Arabidopsis thaliana: one gene and its partners. The protein of the gene in region 3 interacts with the protein of the main gene of each other region in a pairwise test. Each region holds a gene or a part of one and is shown on either strand. Other genes may lie near its edges.

Evidence for each region.
Region 1: the proteins of AUX1 (region 3) and AT3G62560 interact in a protein complementation assay, tested with the Arabidopsis thaliana proteins (one large-scale study listed by BioGRID).
Region 2: the proteins of AUX1 (region 3) and AT5G25940 interact in a protein complementation assay, tested with the Arabidopsis thaliana proteins (one large-scale study listed by BioGRID).
Region 4: the proteins of AUX1 (region 3) and AT5G11680 interact in a protein complementation assay, tested with the Arabidopsis thaliana proteins (one large-scale study listed by BioGRID).

The regions. Positions count from the first base shown.
Region 1 is NC_003074.8:23,135,114-23,140,263, reverse strand, and holds AT3G62560 (Ras-related small GTP-binding family protein), read right to left. Parts: upstream 2,979-5,150; 5' UTR 2,726-2,978; coding exon 2,597-2,725; intron 2,485-2,596; coding exon 2,353-2,484; intron 1,705-2,352; coding exon 1,384-1,704; 3' UTR 1,119-1,383; downstream 1-1,118. Other genes in the region: AT3G62550 (Adenine nucleotide alpha hydrolases-like superfamily protein), read right to left, coding at 3,190-3,277, 3,357-3,475, 3,701-3,810, 3,899-4,070; AT3G62540 (Pentatricopeptide repeat (PPR) superfamily protein), read left to right, coding at 4,951-5,150.
Region 2 is NC_003076.8:9,053,167-9,057,483, forward strand, and holds AT5G25940 (early nodulin-like protein), read right to left. Parts: upstream 2,090-4,317; 5' UTR 1,986-2,089; coding exon 1,880-1,985; intron 1,796-1,879; coding exon 1,734-1,795; intron 1,477-1,733; coding exon 1,401-1,476; exon of another isoform or gene 1,190-1,400; coding exon 1,086-1,189; 3' UTR 956-1,085; downstream 1-955. Other genes in the region: AT5G25930 (kinase family with leucine-rich repeat domain-containing protein), read left to right, coding at 1-312, 394-812.
Region 3 is NC_003071.7:15,970,796-15,978,338, reverse strand, and holds AUX1 (Transmembrane amino acid transporter family protein), read right to left. Parts: upstream 5,464-7,543; 5' UTR 5,075-5,463; intron 4,864-5,074; 5' UTR 4,847-4,863; coding exon 4,670-4,846; intron 4,577-4,669; coding exon 4,391-4,576; intron 4,303-4,390; coding exon 4,190-4,302; intron 4,094-4,189; coding exon 3,910-4,093; intron 3,632-3,909; coding exon 3,534-3,631; intron 3,013-3,533; coding exon 2,805-3,012; intron 2,719-2,804; coding exon 2,461-2,718; intron 2,373-2,460; coding exon of another isoform or gene 2,367-2,372; exon of another isoform or gene 1,781-2,366; coding exon 1,547-1,780; 3' UTR 1,159-1,546; downstream 1-1,158. UniProt on the Arabidopsis thaliana protein: Carrier protein involved in proton-driven auxin influx.
Region 4 is NC_003076.8:3,756,739-3,762,194, reverse strand, and holds AT5G11680 (classical AGP protein), read right to left. Parts: upstream 3,387-5,456; 5' UTR 3,210-3,386; intron 2,803-3,209; 5' UTR 2,733-2,802; coding exon 2,623-2,732; intron 2,389-2,622; coding exon 2,277-2,388; intron 2,151-2,276; coding exon 2,079-2,150; intron 1,988-2,078; coding exon 1,761-1,987; intron 1,664-1,760; coding exon 1,561-1,663; 3' UTR 1,282-1,560; downstream 1-1,281. Other genes in the region: TIM17-3 (translocase inner membrane subunit 17-3), read right to left, coding at 35-436; NADP-ME2 (NADP-malic enzyme 2), read right to left, coding at 4,155-4,243, 4,333-4,461, 4,555-4,645, 4,741-4,815, 4,941-5,018, 5,106-5,195, 5,280-5,378.

The DNA of each region.
Region 1 (5,150 bases), on a different chromosome or scaffold from region 3:
TTGTATGATTAACGTCGTTATTTAATTTGAAGTATTGAGTAAAAAAGAGAGAATATTGCGTTGGGCATCAAACCAATCATCTAGTTTTGCTCAAATGCATACGATAGAGACCTCTTTTGGATCCAAAAGCTTTGGGTTTTGAACTAAAAACTGAAACCAATCACATAAAAGTCAGATAGCTCAGAGGGAGGCACGTGTTCTTGGCTTAGATATCACGTGGGAATGAGGGATCCATGTGCATCCCTTTACCCCAAAAACCAAGTTAATACTTCTTCTAAATTTATTTTTCTCTTCTCCACGCAATCAATCGAATGAGTTTTAATATTTTGACATTTTTTTATATATAAAAAAAACTTTTCTCATTCAAGCAAAAAACTTAAATCAAATTATTCATTTGGTCACATTTTCGTGCTTGGTATTTCATGGGTCCTGGGACATAGAACCAGTCTCTAGCTAGTGGCGAATATAAAAAAGAAACAGCATAGTAAAAAGAAGAGCAAAAACTGTAACAAGGAATCAATCCAAAGGAGAAAAAATTAATAACAAATGATAGAAATAATACGTTAAAAAAAAACTTTTGATATTAACTTTGGGCCACGTAGAGAAGAATCAGTCCAAAGGAGAAATGTTCTGAAAAAGTTATAAAAAGAGAAAGTGAGCACCTAATAGTTTTCTTACACATCCATATTTGCATAGTCCGTAGACATATATATGCTTGAGCTGCAAAATCTTGAGTCGCAAAATCTAATCTATTAGCCTTATTACGCTGCGACTTGAACGTTTGGAAGCGGCTGAGATCAAAGACGCATTGTGATGGTGCTAAAAAGCAAATTTTTTTACTTATTTTGTGAACTATTTTGGAGTATTATTGTTCACATATTTTAATGAAAATAAATACATGGTTATCCATAGATCTGTTTGTGTTCATTTCACAATACCTAGAAAGAAGAAAAACAGACATAATGATAAGTTCACAAAGAGACATAACACATGTAAAACAATATACGTACACTCATTATGGTACATCTATGTGTCAAATTGATTGGTTTTCAGTGTAGGACATTGTGATTGTTAATTGTCAAACTCGATTCACATGGGGTTTTCTCTACATTACATTATTAAAGTAAAAGTGTTCATCTTTCGAATTTTCATAAAAAAGCTAAGATACAGCCATTTCTTAAGCCCCACACAGTTACACAGTCACAGACAAATGGGTTCACACTTTTCATAGGATTCAACTTTGGTCTGTAAACACAAAATTGATAATTTAAAAGCCGTCAAATCTTGTTGTATACACACATTAATCGTAATTATACATTAGGTTATAACACGTACAGATACCAATCACACAGTATAGATAGATAAGACTTAAATATGATTGATCTAGTCGATATATTGAGAAACCCATTTAAATCCTTCGCCGTAACCCATCTTTCTGACAATGCTGCACATGAACACCTCAAGAGGACGAACATTTGTTCCTGCTAGATTCACTTTACCTTTCCCAGTGGTGAAACTGGTGAGGCCTAGATGATAACGCAGCTCGTCTTCTGATGCAGCGTACGGAATGTCGATTTTGTTTCCAAGGATGAGGAAAGGGACATTTGCTAGGGATTCATCAGAGAGAAGAGCGTCAAGCTCTTTCTTTGATTCTGCAAACCTCTCTTTGTCATATGCATCAACTAGGTATACCACTGCATCAACCTAATACGAGACAATAATAAAGTTACAAACTTGAAGATAGAATGCAAAGAGGGTAGCTAATAGAAACACCGGAGTCTATTAATCTCTTGATTCACTGGAATCATCAGCTATGAGAATGTAAATCACAAGGGACCTCATGACTCTAAAACTGACAGTAAGAGTAGTCTATAGCTATACAATCTTCTAATTTTCAACCTCCACTGGCTCCACATACCAATCACAATGTCATTTTAAACTACAGTATATGATGTATATGTATATCTATCATCTGAAGATTTTACTATAGCTCAATCATTTCAAACTATCATCTGCAAACTTATATAACCCAACGGAGCAACACAGTGGCTAAGGAACAGAGTAGGAGTAGTACACAGCAAGAGCTTACTAGGTACACATAACCAGCAGAATGTAATCACAGGACCTCATGCTGCAACATTCAAAAGAGAATTGCTATATGACAAACTTCATTGAAGATTTCACTTCACCTCTATCATCTAACTATTGTTTATATGGGCACAGGGAAGATTGTAATCTATAACAGAGTCAGCTTAGAGTCTACATACAACTATACGAGCGCAATAGTCCTTCCAAAGACTTGCTAAATTGATTGACCTAACAATAAAATCCAAAGAAGAAAGAAGATCAAACCTTAGCGTAATAGTCCTTCCAGACTCTACGAGCAATCTGATGACCTCCCAAATCGAAGGCTTTGAACTTGATTTTGCCGATACTAAGCTCTTCCGATGTCGGATGCTGTGTCGGCTGATGCTGGACCAGTCTCTGAAACCCAAATCAAACGATTATCGCTGATTAAGACTTTGATTCGTTCGCGCTAAGTAAAAGAAACAAGATTCTAGACAGCGATTACTGATATGGCTCGAAGAAAACGAACCTCGTCCTTTAACATGTGAAGCAAGGTGGTTTTGCCGGCGTTGTCGAGACCTAGAAACAGAATCTTCGCTTCTTTCTGCCATAGTCCCAGAGTTGCCAGAACTCCATAGAACCAATCCACCAGGAACATCGCTTCTTCTTCTTCTTCTTCTTCTTCTTCTCTCTCGCGAGATTGAAGATTTTCACGAAGCTTCGAACACGGAAACGGCGACGTTTAAGTATGACTGTGTCGACTGGATGAGTAACAGATATACTTTGGGCCTTGAGGCCTTTATTGAACTTTGAAGCGAACAACAATTAAGTGTTCAAACAACAAAATTGCAAATATTCAAAACTTGGTATATGGTTCATTACATTCTTCTATACGTTAAATTGAAATTTGCGTTTACATTAGTTTTTAATTTGGCATTGTATGTAGAGAATGTAGATTTGAATTTAATTGGTTGATTGATGTCATTGTCAGCTAGTTTTATATAAGCAAAAATATCTGCTAAATTTGTTTAAACCGTTATGTATTTTATTATCGCATACGAAGATTGATTCAAGTGTTACACCAGTTCTTTCGAAACATATACACAATGCAATCATATGAGCTTAATTATCTTGAGCTTGCTTCTTGACGATAACCACAGGACACTTGACTCGTTTGGCGCAATACTCGCTCACACTCCCTAGCAAAGCCCTATCAAATATATCAAATGATTATCAAATAACCATTAAACCAAAATATTTTTGTTTCTTATAAGAGATTGAAACCTTACCTTTTGAAGAAGCCATAGTCATGAGTGCCCATTACTAACATATCAACTCTAAGTTTCTGAACTGCGTTGCATATAACTTCCTTAGCATCTCCTCTTCCAACTCGTCTCTCTATATTAATCTGCACATTAATTTGGTTATATTTACATTTATTTCGCCAACTCTCTTTGAAAACAACCATATTTTGCTTATCATATGTTATATTTTTTGTACTAAATATTGCTCATGATAAACAGATTAACTCATAACTACTTGATTAAATTCACTTTCTCATAATTTCTCAAGTTTTTTAAGCAAGTATAATCCAGCAAATTAAGTGATAAAAAATCGATAGAAATAAGCTTACATCAGACTCATAATCTTGGTACACGGTTCGAGACCGAGCCATGACCGATTCCACGAGCTCGTATTCATACTTCTTCAAAGCTGCAACCGGGTCTCCTGTCACTATAAACCCTGGAAATCGACCAAACAAAAATCTATAACTAAAGTGAACAGATTATAATTAGGGAAAGATATGAATCGTGAAAGAACGAGGACTAACCTGCGGCATCGAGGGAAGAGTAAACGGGAAGAGGGGGCTTGACGTAGAGGAGGATGAGTGTATTATTGGAACCATATGGAAAAAGATTGTCAAGACTCCATGACAGAGCTTCCATGCTCTCTTCGCTTTCGTCTACTGCTACTACTATCTTTCTCTCCTTTGTTTCCTCCATTTCTTTACCTTTCTAAAAAAAAAAACTGTTTTCTTTTGCTTTCAATTATTAGAGAAGAAATATATTATGAAGAAGACCTGATGGAAGAAGAGATTATGATTGTGTTACTATTTATACAATTAGCTAGGCAAAACCCACTTGATTTCTCATTTTGGAATTAAGTGTTTTCATTTAGATATTTGCAGACACTATCCTTTGTGTAATTTTTACATTAGATAAGATATAAACCCACATAGGATTGATTGATAACCAAATACAGAAAACTATCGTTTTTCTTTCAGGGGTGACTCTTATCTACAATATGCGATATTTTTATGTAGATAATTCATGATTTTTTATAGAATTATTTCATGCTTCTGAACTACTATGTTATTATAGATTTTAGGTGAATCAATATTTATGAACTTAATCTGGAATCTGATTTTCCTCATATATCCCTTAGTTTTATATACATCCCGCAGGGTTATTGATGATTGATGTTACACTGATTGACTGATCTTGATTTTCAGTTATGTAATATCCATAAACACGTATACAAAGACAACGTGAACTAAGAGAAATGTAAGATAGAATCAAATAAATCTAAAAATAAATTGGTCCCCTAAGAAAAACTTGAGAAAATATCACGACCCTAAAACGAAGATAAGATGCATACAGATACCTTCCAACTAAAAAATAAAAATTCTTTATGCGTTTGAGCTTTAATGCTCCTGGTGGACCCAATGGTTATATGTGACCAGATCAATGGGCCTTTAATGGGTCAAAATTATTATCACTCAAAGCTTCTAATCAAACAAAGGCCCAAATACGTGAAGAGCTCTCCGCCGTAAATCAGTGGCTTTTCACCGACTTCGCCATTGCTAATCGCCGTCGAGCTTCCATGGCTGCTGCTCCATGGCTCTATCTCTCTAGGAGAAGAAGCTCCACTCAGACTTCATTAAGAAGATTCCTCATTTGCTCTTCTTCATTCGATGCCGATGAATTCATTTCCAGTCAAAGCCGCGTAATCGGCGGGAGAGGAGAAGAGGAAGTACGATTTTCCGGTGCTCTCTTCTCTCGTATGATTCATTCTTCTACTTA
Region 2 (4,317 bases), on a different chromosome or scaffold from region 3:
AGTATCTCGAGAAACGCAGTCTTGATCAATGGTTACATGGAAAGAAGAAGGGAGGTACCGTAGAGGCTAATAACCTTACATGGTCACAGAGGTTGAATATCGCAGTTGGAGCAGCTCAAGGACTTTGCTATATGCATCATGATTGTACTCCCGCAATCATACATAGAGATGTCAAGTCGAGTAACATCTTGCTTGATTCTGAATTCAACGCGAAGATTGCAGATTTCGGGTTGGCTAAACTGTTGATTAAGCAAAACCAAGAACCTCATACCATGTCAGCTGTTGCTGGATCCTTTGGTTACATTGCTCCAGGTAATACCCGTAAACAAAAAACATTCTTTAGAGTCGAATAGAGTCGCTCATTGTGTGATCTCTAATATTTTTATGTTGCAGAATACGCATATACGTCAAAGGTAGATGAGAAGATCGATGTGTACAGCTTCGGGGTAGTTTTGCTAGAGCTGGTGACTGGAAGAGAAGGAAACAACGGAGATGAACACACAAACTTAGCAGATTGGTCATGGAAACATTACCAATCTGGAAAACCGACCGCAGAGGCGTTTGATGAGGACATCAAAGAAGCTTCCACGACTGAGGCGATGACAACAGTTTTCAAGCTAGGTCTCATGTGTACTAACACATTGCCTAGTCATAGACCTTCCATGAAAGAGGTCTTGTATGTTCTGCGCCAACAAGGACTTGAGGCGACGAAGAAGACTGCAACAGAGGCATATGAGGCACCTCTACTAGTTAGTTTATCGGGTCGAAGGACAAGTAAAAGGGTAGAAGATGAAGATTTAGGTTTTGTATAATCAAATAATCACAACACTTGATGTTGTTTTTTTTGTGAAATGTACAAATGTATTAGAAACCATTTAGTTTTTGTGTAAGCAAAGTTTTAGTTAAGAGTATAACTACCAGCTTGTAACTTATTTGAGAACAAAATCTGAAAGTCTGAATAAAAAATGGTCTTAAAGAATTTGTTATTCCTTATAATAATAACACTCTTATTAAGAATCAAGGCAAAATATGCATACAAAACAGAGAAAGATGATGATTGATTTGTGTTACAATAAGAAGAGAAATTATTTAGAGTCTTGCTGAACTTTCTTTAACTGAGCCTCGGTGTTTCTTCTTGCGCCTTGTAGAATCGTTTTATCCGCGGTTATGAAGAACGCAGCGATAGAAGCTGTTCCAATGATCACCATAATCACAAGATAGAAATCAGAAGAAAATTGTGGAGAAATGAATGTACGAATACTTAAAAACCCCAAACTCAACTAGGTTCAAAAGGGAAGTTCGAGGTTTCTACAACAATGTTAAAGCTAGTATCTTTTTTCTACTTAGTTCCAGGAAGAACATATAGTAATGATTTAAGGCATATTGCTGATAGAGCTAACCTGAAGAAATAATGAGTGCTTGAGCAGTGTAGTTGAGGTTTGCCTTAGCCCACGGGAACATACGAACGGCAGCTACCTGTTACGAAAACAAGGCATGCTTATGTACCAAATTCATATCTTATATACACATCAAAAAGAATGTGACTCTACTTGGTGTATTCAGAAATCACAAAATGAATAGGTAACAAAATTGAAACTCTTGATTATTACAGAACATGAGATTGGTGAGTCACTTTTGTCTTAAAATTCAACAACAAAGAAACATAACTCTTACATTTAATTCATTTAAGATCTCAATTTAAAAAATTTAGATAAGTGAGATTATATGATTACTGTGGGAATCGCACTGGCGACGGCGGCAACGGCGGCGGCCTTAGCTCCGGCAATAGCTCCGGCTGTAACATAATCCAAAGTCATCAATTTAAAAGATTTTTTTTAGGGGAAAAAAGAGAGAGAGAGACGGAGAAAGAAGAAGAGACCTTGTTTGGAAGTTTCGGCTCGATGGATCTTAGCAATCTCGTCGGGAGAAGCTATGACGAAGAGATTCTGCTGCCTCCGGTTACCCATTTCTGACCGATTTTCCATTTTCAGTGTCGCTTTTTTGATCTTTCGATTTCAAGGAGAGAGAGAGAGAGAGAGACGGGTCGCGATTTGCCTTTTTCTTTGGTTAGGAAATAAATGATTAGGACGAAAATTAAAAATTCGTTTTTTTTTTTTATAAGTTGGGAATCTTTCACCAAAATAATGAAACGCCAATATTGAAAACAAAGTTGTCAAAATACTATAGTCTATAAAACGCCAATTTAGAAATGTATTTCAATCATGTATTTAGAATAATTTGTGTTAGAAAACAGATAAAACAATTATTATGTTATAGATTATTTTTAAAATAAAATAAAATTCAGTGGTTCGTAAATGTTTGTTATTGAGAATATTTTAAATTTTAGATTTTTAGTATTTTTAATGCACAATGGTCTTTTGGAGCGGTTTTAGAAATCGACTTAAGAAATGTTTGGAGTCAATTTTGTTACCATACGGATATCTTTAGAGATATAAGAAATTAATCGATTCAGTTTTAGATAAAATTTATAAGTGAAAAAATGATTAAAAAAATATAATAAATTAGTTAATTTCATTAATGATGATATTTTTGTATAGAAAGATAAATTAAAACTTAATTTTATATGTGATTAAAATAGTAATTTTTAAAAAATTGGTTAGTTTATTTTAATTACATAAAATTTAAAATAAAATTTTTGGTATAGAAGTTGAGTTTTAAATGAATTCGGCCTTAATGCTTCAAACATACAAAAGCGAAGATATAGAGAGCCCATCAAAAGTACTAGGGACCAACAGAAAATGTTAAGATTTTATTAATAGTTCAATATTCTTTTTTTAAAAATATTATAATACCTGAATTGGACTTGAGCCAAAGTTTTACAAATCAAAACAACAAATACAAAACGGAGGCAAGAATCTGACAATATCTCCGGTAGACGAGATCTTACTTCGGCGGTAGTTCAATATTGTTCTAATGATTTAACTTGATTGCTTAGATTGGATGATAGAATGTATTTCTAGTGTTCTAATTTAATTGGTTACTTGAACTTTGATACCCTTCTATTGCTATGGTTTTTATACACTTGTGGCAATGAGTGATATTGTAAATTAAATTAGAAAATATGGTGCTAAGGGATATGTGATATAATGCATATATATCCGAGCTACTCGAAAGTCGAAACAGGGTCTAAGCTTCCACCTATGGCTAATTGAGTACTTATGTGCATGAAACATGAGCATAAGAGGTTGATGGAGCTGTTTTACTGTATGCATCTTTCTGCAACCCAAATCCAAAGAGTAGTTGTAAATTTCATGAAAGTGAATGTAATGTCTATAGTCATGTCATAATGTTACTGACAGTCCAAGAGGTGAAGAGCGGTGTGCGGGTGTCTCCAAAATTGTATGTGGTATATTGTGTTTTTAGTGTCTTATGTCCTTTGTCTAGTGTTTGTTTTGAGTTGTTTGTCACATTTTTGTTCGTTTTTAATGTATTTTTCGGTTGTTTTGTACAAGTTTTACGAAGTTATACTGGAATTGGAGACTTTTTAAGTGAAAAACAGACGTTAGGAGATGAAACGGAAAAATGGTGATTCAAGACAACTCCGATGAATGCCATCAGACAACTTTTTGATGCTTAATTTTAAATTTTCTATCAAATTCCACTGGAAAATGGCATCGGACAATTCCCTGATTGAGCACCAATATAATTGAACCCTACCGCAAGAAGTATTGCCTCCTATAAAAACAAGTTGAGAACATTTTCAATGCGAGTTGTCTATAAAATTTTCGGTTGCAAATAAAATATAAATATTATTATTTTGGATCCTTAATTACATTTTTCCTACTACTTATAGAGCTTACATATCTGTTGTTTCTACTTTTACTTATTTTTTTAGTTATTGTGAAACAAAACATATATATTAATTTATACGAATTAAAGGTTTTCAGTACCTTATAAAGGTTAAAGACTATTTATTTATTTTTTATTTAATACAAAATTTGGTATATAAGCTCCATAAAGGGTAGCAAATATTTAATTTAATACAAAATTAATTATATGTACATAATTATATATATATATATAGTAACTTAGACACAATTAAAATTTGCCTTCTCCTTATAGTATAATTCAATTATATAATATATATATATATATATATATATGATTTTACTTTTCCTCTTTTTTAAGTTGATAAGAAACATACACAAAACTATATATACAAATTAATAAAAATATGCATATTTAACGTACATTTGGCTCATTCTTTGTGCTATGAAACTAAGATTAACTACCAAAGATAATCCCAAAAGTCATGAACTTATGGTTGATCCTTCCTTTTGGTGGAACTTATTATCC
Region 3 (7,543 bases):
ACTTAACTTAACCTAATCGTCTCAGGCTACTCCTGACTTCGAGTTAAGTGGATGATATAGAAATCGAGATGTGAAGTGATTTTCAGCCATCAAAATTTTCAAACAGCTCTATATACCTCAAAAGAAATCCAAGATGACAAAAAATTGATTTAAGGCCAAAGGAGAGAAAGATGCCAGTCAAATGTTATGAAAAGACATGCTTGAATAATTGGTATGAGATATTTTATGAAATACTTTTATTGCATACCGTATTTTACTATAAAACAATTTTCTTTTCACAAACACAACCATCTTAGATTTATCCATGTTAGCCGAGATTTTTTTTGTATCCAGATAGTCCACTTTACAAAAAAAAAAAAGTCTAATATAAAGAAGAAGAAAAGCCTCAAATGTAGTTGCAAAACTCACATGGCCTAAATCAGAACAAATTAAAGACGATTCACCACTCGCCACATAATAGTTTATTGACAATTTGAACCCACTCGTTACCAAGGGTCACTAACCAAACGTTACCAAGGGTCCTACTCCATATCGCATAATATGACTCACATTCACTTCTTCTTTTCTCTTTAACGATTTTATGCTATTAGAAGAAACATTTTTGCAAAGTTCTTTTTTATTTTGACCCCCAACAAAAAAAAAGTCAGATGGAAAGTACAAGAATCGGACTCTGGATTCAAACGAGAATATTAGTTAATAATTTTACATATATAGTTATAATCTTTGGGGGCAAAGTACATGTGAAAGCAGAGCATATGATAAGGGGTAAACGATTGAGTACGAATGGAACGAACACATGCCATATTTAATATGAGGGACAGGAACGGTCCTCTGATCCATTCTTTTGATCAGAGAGAAGATGAAGAGTGTCAAGTAAATAATGGCACGTGACTCGGACGAAGTATCCACGTGCGTCCTCTCCCCACACCCATGTGGCCCATAGGATATATGACCGGCTCCGTCGGTCCAACTTGTCCATGTTCCCCTATTTAATTTTTAAACACACCCTGCCGTTAAATCAAATTTTCCAAATAAATTAAAGTGTTATTTCAAAATTTTAATGTAAACTTAGTAGTATTGTCGCTGTGCTATGATCAAAACTGTATAATTAAAAGATCTAATAGGATCCTAAAGAATTATCTAGTATCGGAAGATATTGTTCATGGTAAAATAGTTTATATAAGTCTAATTAGGATAAATGTATAAGATAAGAATTGTTTTTTGTTACTAAAGACAAGTAAAAGGAGAGAAGACGATACATTTTCTTAGCCTATTGTTTTAACAATACCAAATTAAGAAATCACACACTACATATTATCGACTATTCAATTTTAAAAAAAAAACTAAGGAGTGAAAACAAAAATACAAAACCCCAAAAGAGAAAAAAATAATTAAGAGCTTAGCACGCATTTAAAGGGGTGTGTAAAAAGTACACTATTTTCGTGACTTTTACTCCCTTCACGTATACGAACACAAAACACAAAAGAAGAACAAATAATTTTAAGAACCCTCCACAAACGCATTAGAAGAACCCTGACTCGATCTCTCAAAGACGGTGGTGTAAAGCGGAGACCGGGGCATGTGCGGCGGCTGCAGCTGGTTTACATTGGTAACACTTGGCAAAGAGACCAAAAGTGTCGACTTGACGAACAAAGTTGGTTACACTAGCCCATCCACCGAACCCAAATCCGACTATAAGAACCCAAACCACCACGAAAGCATTCAACACGTACATCGCCGTCCAGCTCGGCATAAAGAACGGTGGCTTCTCCGCCGCATTCTACAAGAAAGATCCAAAACACAAAAATAATCAGAGAACCATTAAAGAAATAGAGAGTGTGTAAGTGTTTTAGAGTTTTGGTCGTATAGTAATGGACAAAATCCAAAGCTTTGTTGACCCATGAGATAGAGAGAGAGAGAGAGAGATATGATTGTGATTTGTCATACTCAGACTCTCACTTTAGATTAATGTTAGGCATAGAGTCCCTATTGTACAGCTCCTTTTCATTTCTGATTATGACTCTTACCTATTCCTCTCCCCTATTTTCCTCTACTTTTATCTTACGTAAATTTAATATACACTGTTTTGAAAGAGAGAAAGAAAAAGAAGTCATGGTCAATTACTAATACTAACCTAACCGGATATTGTATTTTTTCTTCTAAATGTAACCAAATAAAGAAATGGCTGAAACCAACTCAATAATATATTATTTGGAGGGGACGCCAGTAAGGAATGTGGGTGATGATCCTATCTTCCGTAAGATACGGAACACTGAACCCCATCTATCTTCCACAAAAGACGTTTTTGCCCTCCAATTTCACAACCCTACCCCCCAACTATAATATTCCTCCACCGACTCTTCATTTCATTTCTAAAAAATTATTGGTAACTCAATGTATTTTAGGTTAAGTTCGAGTTTTGAAACGCTAAAAGAGAGTGAGCTAGTAAAGATGTTATACCTGACGAGCGGAGGCAGATCGGTAAGTGAGCATGTGAGCGAGAGATGGGATGATATAGACGGTGAAGCTAACAAGAAGAGCACCGACAGCGGAATTGATTGGACCGAAAAAGGGGAAGATAATAGCTAAGAACCAAATAGGTATGACCACAGGCAATCTAGCCAAAGCCCTTAAGCAAATGCTCTTTGTGTCATGCATCCCAATCACTTTCTCCCACACAAAGTACAAAGGTGTACAAGCGAACCCGAACGTTATAAACTGCACGAACAAGAACACGTTGCATTAATCTCTCATGATCAAAATTTACTTAAAAAAGAAAGAACAAAAATGTTGTATGTGTATACCTGATGAATGAGCATGAGGATAACAGCGGCGTCACGCCACGCGTTCTTGGGCATAAGAGAGAAAGCGTTGGAGTGGTCGAGAAGTGCGTCTCCGAAAGCCCAGTAAACGGCGGCAGCTGACGGAATCGTTAGCGTGAACACGTATAACGTCGCCATCAAGTAAATGTACTTAAACTTCTGTGGTTTCCACATAGCATGCATAATCTCACTGCAAATTAGAAATTACTGTTAATATTCATAATTTCATCCAAAACTTTAACTATGTAAAAGATTGGATTCACAACAATCATTGACGCATAAAAAGGGTGTATTTGACATTTCGCAAAAGCGTACTATTCCTACTAGTAGTAGTAGTGCTTTGGTAGCAATAGTGTTTGTTATTCTTTATAGGGATAGGAATAATAATGGTTATTCTATTTTATATTTAAAAAGAGCTTATTTTATTAGTACTACTATTTTAAGGATTGCTAAAAATAATAATGACAATCATGATGACTGTAATAATAGTTACACCTTATTTGCCGGCAAAAGCTGCAATAGAAGCGGCGAAGAAACGATACAGCAGCACCCATAATTTAATAATATGGCACCATTTTAATTTACCATATACTTTTTCTGCCATTTAGCTTTAACTTAAATAGTAATTCAACTATGTCTGACAAAATTTATTGATCTTTTATTAGATACAAAATTAATAATCATTAAGAAATCAAAAGAAGAGTAACTTACACAGTAACCGCGTGACCTCCAAAGGTGTACAAAATATTTGTGGCTCCCGTAAAATAAAGCACTAGCTTTGTTGGACCTGAATGTTTCACACCTTCCGCCTAAAATAAACAACAAAAAAAAAATTTGATTAGGAGAATATTAAACAGCTAATTTTGTCTAAGTTATATTATACATACACTTTTTAATACAAATTTGGGTTAAGATGCAAAGAATAATCCCTGATCTTAAAGAGAAAATACGAATTTTTTTTATTCTTCTTTTTAATTAAGGCATATACTGTCACCTCAATGCAAAGCATATAAATATGAAAACGACAGTGTAGTGATCTTTATAATGTGATGAAATATATTTTTGGTGAAATATATTAAAACATTACCTGGCCGTGGATGATGGAGGCAATGGCTAAGTACCAAGCGGTGTAAGTGGTCATTCCAAGGCCAAGGAATGACCAAATTCGGTAATTGTGAAACGACGGTATAAAGACAGTGGTTGCACAACACGCGCCAAATATGTAAGTCCATGTTCTCTTGTCCAGATGATCGTTTATGTAATAAATGTTACTGCAAGTAAACACCAATCATATTTCAATTATCCTCCATTCTTAATCATTAAAGAGTGATTAAAAAGATAAAGAGAATGATTAAAAGATAACAGACCTGGCACAAGCAATGAGTTGGATAACAGATCCAAACAAGAGGAAAGTGCAATTAAATGCGAGTCCTAGTGCTTTCCAGTATGAACCAAGTAATCCATCAAGTACTTCAAACCACTGTTGAGATTTTTAAAAGTGTTAGATTAGTGAAAGATAATTATGATTTAGTGATTCTGATTAGAGAGAGAGGGTTTAAAGAGGGGACCTGAATGACGTGGTTTTTGAAGCTTTTGCCTTCTTTTTCTTTACGAGCTCTGTATTCGACGTAGAGAACAGAGATGAGATAAGCAGTCCAGCTTCCTAGTAAACCATAGAAGATCTGAAGTACTATTCCTGATAACATTCCTAGTTGACTAAACGAGTACGGTAATGTCAATAACACTTGAGCCACCTGAAACCAACGATAATTACTACAAATCAGATCTTTCTTCACTATGAGAAATCCGAAATTTTGAATCTTTAGTTTATGGTTTTATTGGTTTACTTGGTTAGATGCGCAGCTGAACCAAGCGTCCCAGACAGAGCCACCGTGCCATAGGAAATTGCTTAGGTTAGAACCGGTGGAGCCGTCGTGTTCTTCGTTATCTTTCCCGGTACGGTTTCCGTTTACCTGATCTGTTCCGTTGTCATTTGCTACTATCGCTTCTACTCCTTCCGACATTTTTTTAGCTTCTAGATCTGAGAAATAAAACAGAGCGAAAGAATCGATTGTGTTTAGTAACTAAGTGAAAACAGAGAGGAGAAAACAGAGCACATAAGAGACTGAGAGAGATCTCAATCTTGGAGAATTCAAGAAGATAAAACAGAGAGGGAAAGAGAATTGACAGTTCTTTGTTCACGTTTTTTCTCTTCTTCAGTGTGAAAAAAGAGAGTAGAGAGAGTGACTTACGTTTTCTTCTATTAGAGAAGAGAAAGAATCAGAAGCAAGAAAGACCCAAGAGTGGTTTTTGTCCGTTTGAGCTGTCACTTGTTTCTTCTCTTTTCACTTTTGTTTAAGAAAATCTCAACTCTGTACTGTTTCTTCTGTGTCTTAAAAGAAACAGAGCATAAGAAGAGAAGAACCCAGAAATGTGCAGAGGAGGAAAGAGAGAGAGAAGGGAAGGAGAAGACTTTGATCAGAGCAAAAGAAGGAATGAAGCTAAAAATACTATAAGATGCTTCGGGCTTCACCCCCTACTCCTCCTTTTTATATACCAATCTCTCTTTTTCATTTTTTCTTACTTCTCTTTGGTTTTTTTATGTAATTTTAAAAATATTAAACAGGTGCTGTAAAATCACACCATTAACTTTTGTTTAGGTAACGGTAGCATCTTACTTTTTTTTACGTTTTCGCATTGAATATTAATGTGACTATTTGACATCCAGAATTTCCGGCTTCTTCTACTATCCAATAATAAATTAAAACATAACGCCACATGGGTTCAAAATACATAAAATCGTATTTTACTATATTTCATCTACTAAAAAGCATTAGTTGTGTGACGAAAACGTATCATTTAATTCGAAATATTTAAGATATGATGACAAACAAATAATGCAACGTATTAATGTTTGACGATTTATTGACTTGTTATAGGATATAAATTAAGAGCATACTCAATGGTGGTTTCTAACCATAGTTTCTAATCTACTAAAATAATAATAAAATAAGAAATAATATTATTTAATTTGAAAAGTTTCTAAAAATAGTTAGAAGAGTCTTCAAAATCTCTTGAATTAGAAACTCTCTCACATTTCCTTATAAACTATCTTAATTAAATAATATTATTTATTATTTTATTATTATTATTATAGGTTAGAAACTTTGCTTAGAATCCACTACTGGATTTGCTCCAACATATCTAGATTTAGATATCTTCACTTTTGTTTTTTTTCAACAGCTATCTAAATTTAATACCGTACCTAAAACTAGGATGGACAGATCAATAATCTGCATGTTTTTAGAGTTTAAGGAAAACGTAATCATCCTTTGGTTTGGTTATATGATCAACCACTAAATACAAGTTTTTCACATCATTCTTATTCTAGATTACTAGCTGGAATAATCTATTCTATGGTCTAAAGTTCAAATTTTTCAATTTTTTATCCTACAAAAATTAAAGAGCAGACAAATTTAAGACACCTGATCGTCGACCGAAGGCTCATGTTTTCAGTGATCATGAGTTTGCAAAATACTCATTAGTCATTAGCATTTGCCCATCAAAGAAATAATTGGGTACTACTATACGGCATATACCAAATACTACATGATACTAAGAAATGATTGGATACTACGCCATACTCTCTCTTATACGCATATTAACACATATAGTTGGAGTATTATCATGATGAAACTAGAATTTTCCATGTTAATTATCTGACGGCTAACATAAATCATTTAGAAATAGTTGAACAGTTTAATAATTTTATGTTTGAATGATCTATAACCTATTTTCTAATTATTTCAAGTTAAAATATCTCTTTCGTTTAAATTAGTAAGATAAAAAAATATTGGCAGTAAATATAAATCATTGAATTCATATGAAATCTCAATCCTTAGATGAAATAGTAATGTAAAATAGTATTTTCTACAATGCCATTCCTGGATACATGTTAATTATTCATACTTTCTCCTAAGGTCAAAGGTAGGTAGGCATTAATATATATTGGTCTAATATGAGTCTTACTATTTTTGATACTATAAGTTATAAAATTTTGTTAATAAATTGGATATATATAGTATCATGTTCATTTTTCACTTTGCTGTTTTAAAAATATTATATTGATGTGCACTGTACGAATTCTCACGTAGTGTGAATATTAGTGTGACAACCTTTGTTTCCAAGTTTTGTAAGTAACTTGCTTGCTCAGCTGCTAAACCTCTCAGTGTTCTCACTAGTCATTTTCTCTAATTATATGGCTCGACAATACTTAAATGTTGGATACGTTATCGTAAACTTCCAGCTAAGAAACGGTTTAATTATACGTAGACAAATTGACTATTTCTTGAAACTTTAGAATATAAACAAGTCTACTGATCCATGAAATTTAATCAACTTGCAGAATATTCTAAACAAATATCGTATACTATAAGATACATAGAGCCTATGTATCTAGTGTGTGTATTTATGTAAAGGCGGCAATGTTGCAGGTCTTCTTTAATTTGGTGCAGAAACTGCAGATTTTACCCAACGAGTTGCTTGCTTTTGCTTCTGTTTCACGCAATATTATATAAATTTTAGTTTGCAGTTAATGAAAATAAATTATACAAAACTTGAATTTACAAGCAACTCAAACTTCAGTTGTATATTAGAGCGTCTTCTGTCTTCAAGACTCCAACCCACCTCTAACAATAGGAACATATTTTTCATAGGCATTC
Region 4 (5,456 bases), on a different chromosome or scaffold from region 3:
AAATGACATTCTCATCAAAGACAACCCAAAAAGCTTACTTGCTCCCGAACGGAGGGTTGAGTACAGCCAAAAAAAAACCAAACATAACCGCTGATGTTGAAGCTGCAACAACCCCTTTTCGGATAGACAGAACTCCACCTGTAGCAGCACCCGCTACGATGGAGTTCCATGGATCTTCCTTCTTCCTGATGCGCACCAATGCATAGTCAAATGTTGAGAGCAATCCTCCAAATACAGCAAAAGTGCCTCCCAAGCGAGGAGCATTCATGCTAGCCGCTTGTGTTCCTCCAACATATCGAGCACCTATTGGGGAATTGTATGCCCCTCTCACGAAATGATATACAGAACCTCCAACAGCTCCCGCTCCAAATGCATAACCGATAGCATTGACTATACGGTATAGGCCATGTTCCTTAGATTTCTTCTTAGTGTCCATGTTCCTGACAATGCTAGTTTCTACAGAGGAAGGTCAGAGATCTCACAACAAAACTGAATGAACCAATCATCTTAAGAACAAACCGCATAAAAAGCTGCAAATTTTGAAAAGGGCTAATTATCGAAGCTAAGAAATCCTCCGCTTATGAATTGAGCTCAGCACAAGAATCCGAATACCAGAGATATACATCACAGAAACTAATCTAGGAATGATAGAAATTCTGATTCCATTAAGAGCAAACAAAACGGAGCTTGGTTAAACACTAACCAGAAAAGAAGCAGCAGATTCTAGTGACCGATAATGAAGTCGCTTCTAATCAGAGAGGGCGTGCGAGCCCCCGAAATTAGGGTTTCTAGGTGAAAACGATCGACAATTGTAAATCCTCACTCGTACCTTCGCTCTCGCTCCTCCTAATTTGGACCAGTGTCGCTATAAATTTCTGCAGAACTAACTAGAATGCTATGCCTAGTGAGTGTTACAATTTGTTTTGTCAGAAAAAAAACACCCTGGTCTTTGTTTTTTTTAATAAATGGCTGGAAAGCCACTTTCTCTGGAAAATAAAGCTAGAATGCCACCTTCGTATTTTCATTTTCTTTTACAATTTTGTTTTAAATCAAAAACTAAGGAAAGGTCCAAAAACCCAATTTCAATATTGAAAACTACCAACCCAACCTAAAGTATCCGATTATCCATTCCAAATTTTATGGTCCAACCCTGAACCTCAAATCTTAGTCCATTGGGTTTTAGCTTGCAAAATATATGTTTTGTGGTTTTGTGTGTCCCACTAGTGGCCACGACTTACTACAAGCTCAAGTATTCGCGATTTAGCTGAAGAAAATTGAGCGTGCGGATCAGCCAAATCCGACTTTTCATGGTTCAGGCGAACCGGCAGGGTTTTCGACCCACATTTTGTTCAATATATGAACCAAACTTATGATTATTACGACTCCAATTTTACCAGATACATCCACACACCAAACAAGTCTCATCTTTCTTTACACAGATGGTTTTAGACTTTTAGTTTTCAACTTTAAACAAACAAACAACACGTTTTGCTTATTAGCAACACTAATCTGTTGCTGTTTCTGTATTCATAGCCTTTGTATTTTTTTTTTCCGTGTATCTCAATGTTCCGCCGCACCCGAATGGTAAGCTCTACGCCTCAACTGAGATTCCCCTGATGGCTGTTGCAGATATATCCTCGTTGGATCATTAGGGTCCACGTACCTGCACATACACAATGACGACCACACAAGATTTTATGAGGAACAACAGCTTTTACTACTATCAAAAAACTTTCCGATTGATTTCTGATGGGACTTACGCATGTCTCATCATTTCGTCCACAGGTGTCTGAGCGGCTTGAAGAGGATCAACATGAGGAGCTGCCGCTGCTGCTTCTGCTGCTTGTTGCATTTGTCTGTTGTATTGTCTCACTGATGATATGAGATTCAAGAAGAGAGGAACAAATGTCCCACAACCACCTTCCTTAAATAGGATCTTGAAACTGTGTGTTGAATATAGAGCTCTATGCTCATTTTCTGGCACCACCTGGAAATTTTGTTACATGCCAATAAGTAAATATGTATAGTTTCCTTACAAGGAAAGAAACTATAAATTCTCCATGAAAGTTTGTACTTACAGGCTCCACTTGTCCAGCAATATTGTTGCAGTGAAATATTGGCTGATTAAATTTCTCGGCATGGATGTAAAGCTACAGAGTAACATATAATCCATAAGCTAATATGTAGCATGTAGTTCCATAACCAAATTTAACAGAGCTACACTTGTGCCATGTATTAACTAAATCAGAGACAAAAATAAGATAAAGTTACTGTACCAGGGGCATGTCAAAAGCAACAAAGTTGTCAACAGGCTTGCTTGAAACAAAGACCATCCGTATATTAGACAAGTAAATCACCCCCTTGGCCTTAACATGACCTCCATGCCCTCTGGATCATACAACAAGAAAGAACATCAGGGAAGTGTTTAAAGCCCAGAGCTCATATGTCTGTTCACTTCTGAGACTTATCTTATTTACAAGTAAACTTAATGGTTCATATGCTAGATGAGTGGATCTAAACCGACTCAAAACGGTACTAAAATGGAGACCAACAATAATCATCAAATCAATAAACCACTTAAGGAGATCCAAAACATGCGTGACGAGAGAAGGGAACACGAACCCAGGGATCTTGTCGACTTCAAACTCAACACCATCTCGGACTAGGACGAACATTTCATTAACAAAGGGAACAGGCATCCCATTGGGTAGTAATTGAGGGTTTAGCGCCATGAACTGCAATTCAGATTGATCAAGCCAATGATTATATAATTCCTTGTTCTGTTCTTCTTCTCTGCGTAACCTGATCACACAAATGAGAATATAAACACATTTCCAAATATACTTAGACAATCAGAAGATAATTCAAAGGAACATGCTCCAAATTAGCAAATAATTATTCACAGATCCAAGTAACTAGAGCCAATTAACATCCACATATCATCAGCTTCCAATTTCAGATATGCAAAAGAGCAAATAAAATTGAGGTTTTTAGCTAATTCAAATCGAAACGTTCCTATAATGTAGAAACAAAGACTAGGATTAATAATACGTGTTCAAAACAAATCAATCAACAAAGAAAATATCTAATTCCTTAGAGAATCAAAATCTGATAGCAATAAGAAAGCAGTAACAGAACGATCCAAGTTCAATTTCAAGCAATCCTTTACTCGTAATTTTCTCGCGAATAGAAAAGCTGAAGGAACATACCTGGGTCTACAGAGCTTAAAAGGATTTTGATCGGAGAGATTGAAGAAGAAGAGGATAGGGGTAATAAAAGGGCCAAGATCACAGTTTCTCGTTTTTTCCAGAAAAGAGACGCGACGCGGTTTATTCTTAAAACCTTCTAACCATTTTATTCGTCCCTCTACTTATTTCTTTAGTTCGATTTTCGCCCGCAATTTGATTTCGTTACAATTGTCCCCATCTACAGTTACTATTTGGGCCTTATTACATCTCAGATTAAAGGGACCGTTCAGCCCATTTTCAGTTGTTTTAACTTTGGTTTCGGTTTAGGTGTTTATTTATTTTTTTGACATCTTGTTTCGGTTTAGTTTTGGTTTGGATTGTTTGAGCTTTCGATTTTAACCAAAACGTGAAGACGAGTTTTAGAGATTCTTGTTATTGTTTTAGCTATTTATAACAAGTAGTTACCTAAAATGCCAAAATCATTAGCTTAAGATTAGGAGTTTTGTTGTTTTTAGAACATTTTGCTCAGTACAATTTAGAAACCACTTTCAAAAGAGTATTCAGCTATGCTTCTATAGTCCTATTATCTATATGAAACTTTTGATAAACTCTTCAAAATAATGATACAAGTTCTTTAATTCTGCAACAATTATACCATTTTAATAAAACAACCAATAAGATACAACAAGTGGCAGAAAAAAGCATATTATTCCCTTCCAAGACAAGTTGATCGATTTTGTGATGTGGGATGGAAAGTGTAACTTTGAGACAATAATGATTTGTAGATTATATTAGTAACAATTTATTATTTATCAGCAAAGACAGAGAGAGAGTTCACAAACAGCATCATAATGTAGAAGAGAAAACAAACAACAAACAAACAAACAAAAAACTTAAATACAAGCCTTAAGAAACTATCAAGGGTTGTGAATAGTATAATCTGCAGGTTTCTTCAACAAAACTTTTTTAACGGTAGTTTCTGTACACAGGGCTGTACATGCTGCTCTCTGCAAACTTGACAAGATCCTTTGCACGTGGCAGGTTCGACGCCAATCCTACACCACAATACATCGATTTTAGAACTTGAGATTAGAGAGTTCAGACAGTCTCATTAAAAGAGTTAAGACAGTTTCATTCAACTAACCGAGGTCATAGGTTTTGGCGGCGACACAGGCTGCAATGTTAGCAGAGATCTCTCTGATGTTTGAGAATGGCGGGTAGATCAGACCATTGGCGTAATGCTCTTCTGTCACTTGTGCGGCCAATGCTTCAGCTGTTGAAAACATGAGAGAGAGATGACATTGAGAATCTTTAAGTGTCTTTATCAGTATCCATGTTTGATTTTCTGAAGTTTATTTTTACTTACAAGCTGCGAGGAGCATGTCATCACGGACACGAATTGCCCCAGACATGATCAAACCAAGACCCAGACCAGGGAAAATGTAGCAATTGTTTGCCTGAAGTTAAGTAGGATAGTGGAAATATGATGTGAGCTCTAAGATTGTCAGATGTACAAAGTTGAGAGAGAAGAAGTTGTTGAAATAGCACGAACCTGGCCAGGCAAGTAGGTTTTGCCATCGTACACAACAGGATCAAATGGGCTTCCACTTCCAAAGATTGCACGACCCTTTTTTTAAGCACAATATATGATTAGATTCGAGGAGCAGCATGAAAACCAAATTATAATTTTGTTGTATAATCAGGAGTGAGGACATGAATCACATTTAGATGTCATATGAGACAATATTATACCTTGGTCCATGTGTAAGCCTGTTCAGCAGTACACTCAGCTTGAGAAGTAGGGTTTGAGAGAGCAAGAATCAACGGTTTCTATAAGCCAACACCAAGACCAGCATTAGAAAAATAGCATAAATACCTTGTTTTCTGAAAAAGCAGAGAGTAAGAACAAGAAGAAACCTCGTTGTTGGTAGCCATGGCCTCGACAACTTCTTTTGTGAAAGTCTGACCCACACCGGATGTTCCAATGAGAACGGTTGGCTTGATTGCCTGTTTGAAAAAGTTTCAACAAACAGTGAACAAAAAGATTCTCTATTCACTATCAAGCAATTTAAAGATCAGTTCATCACGTACATTAACAGCACCAATGAGGTCCTTCACAGGTTTGTGCTCATGTGCCCATGGCTGCTTGAAGTGCTGAAGAGATTCTTTGCGTGAGCTAACAATCAGTCCCTGCAAAATAATGTTCAAAAGAGAAACATATATGAACAAGAACGGTATAGCTAAAAAAGATGAGACTGATCTTGGTGG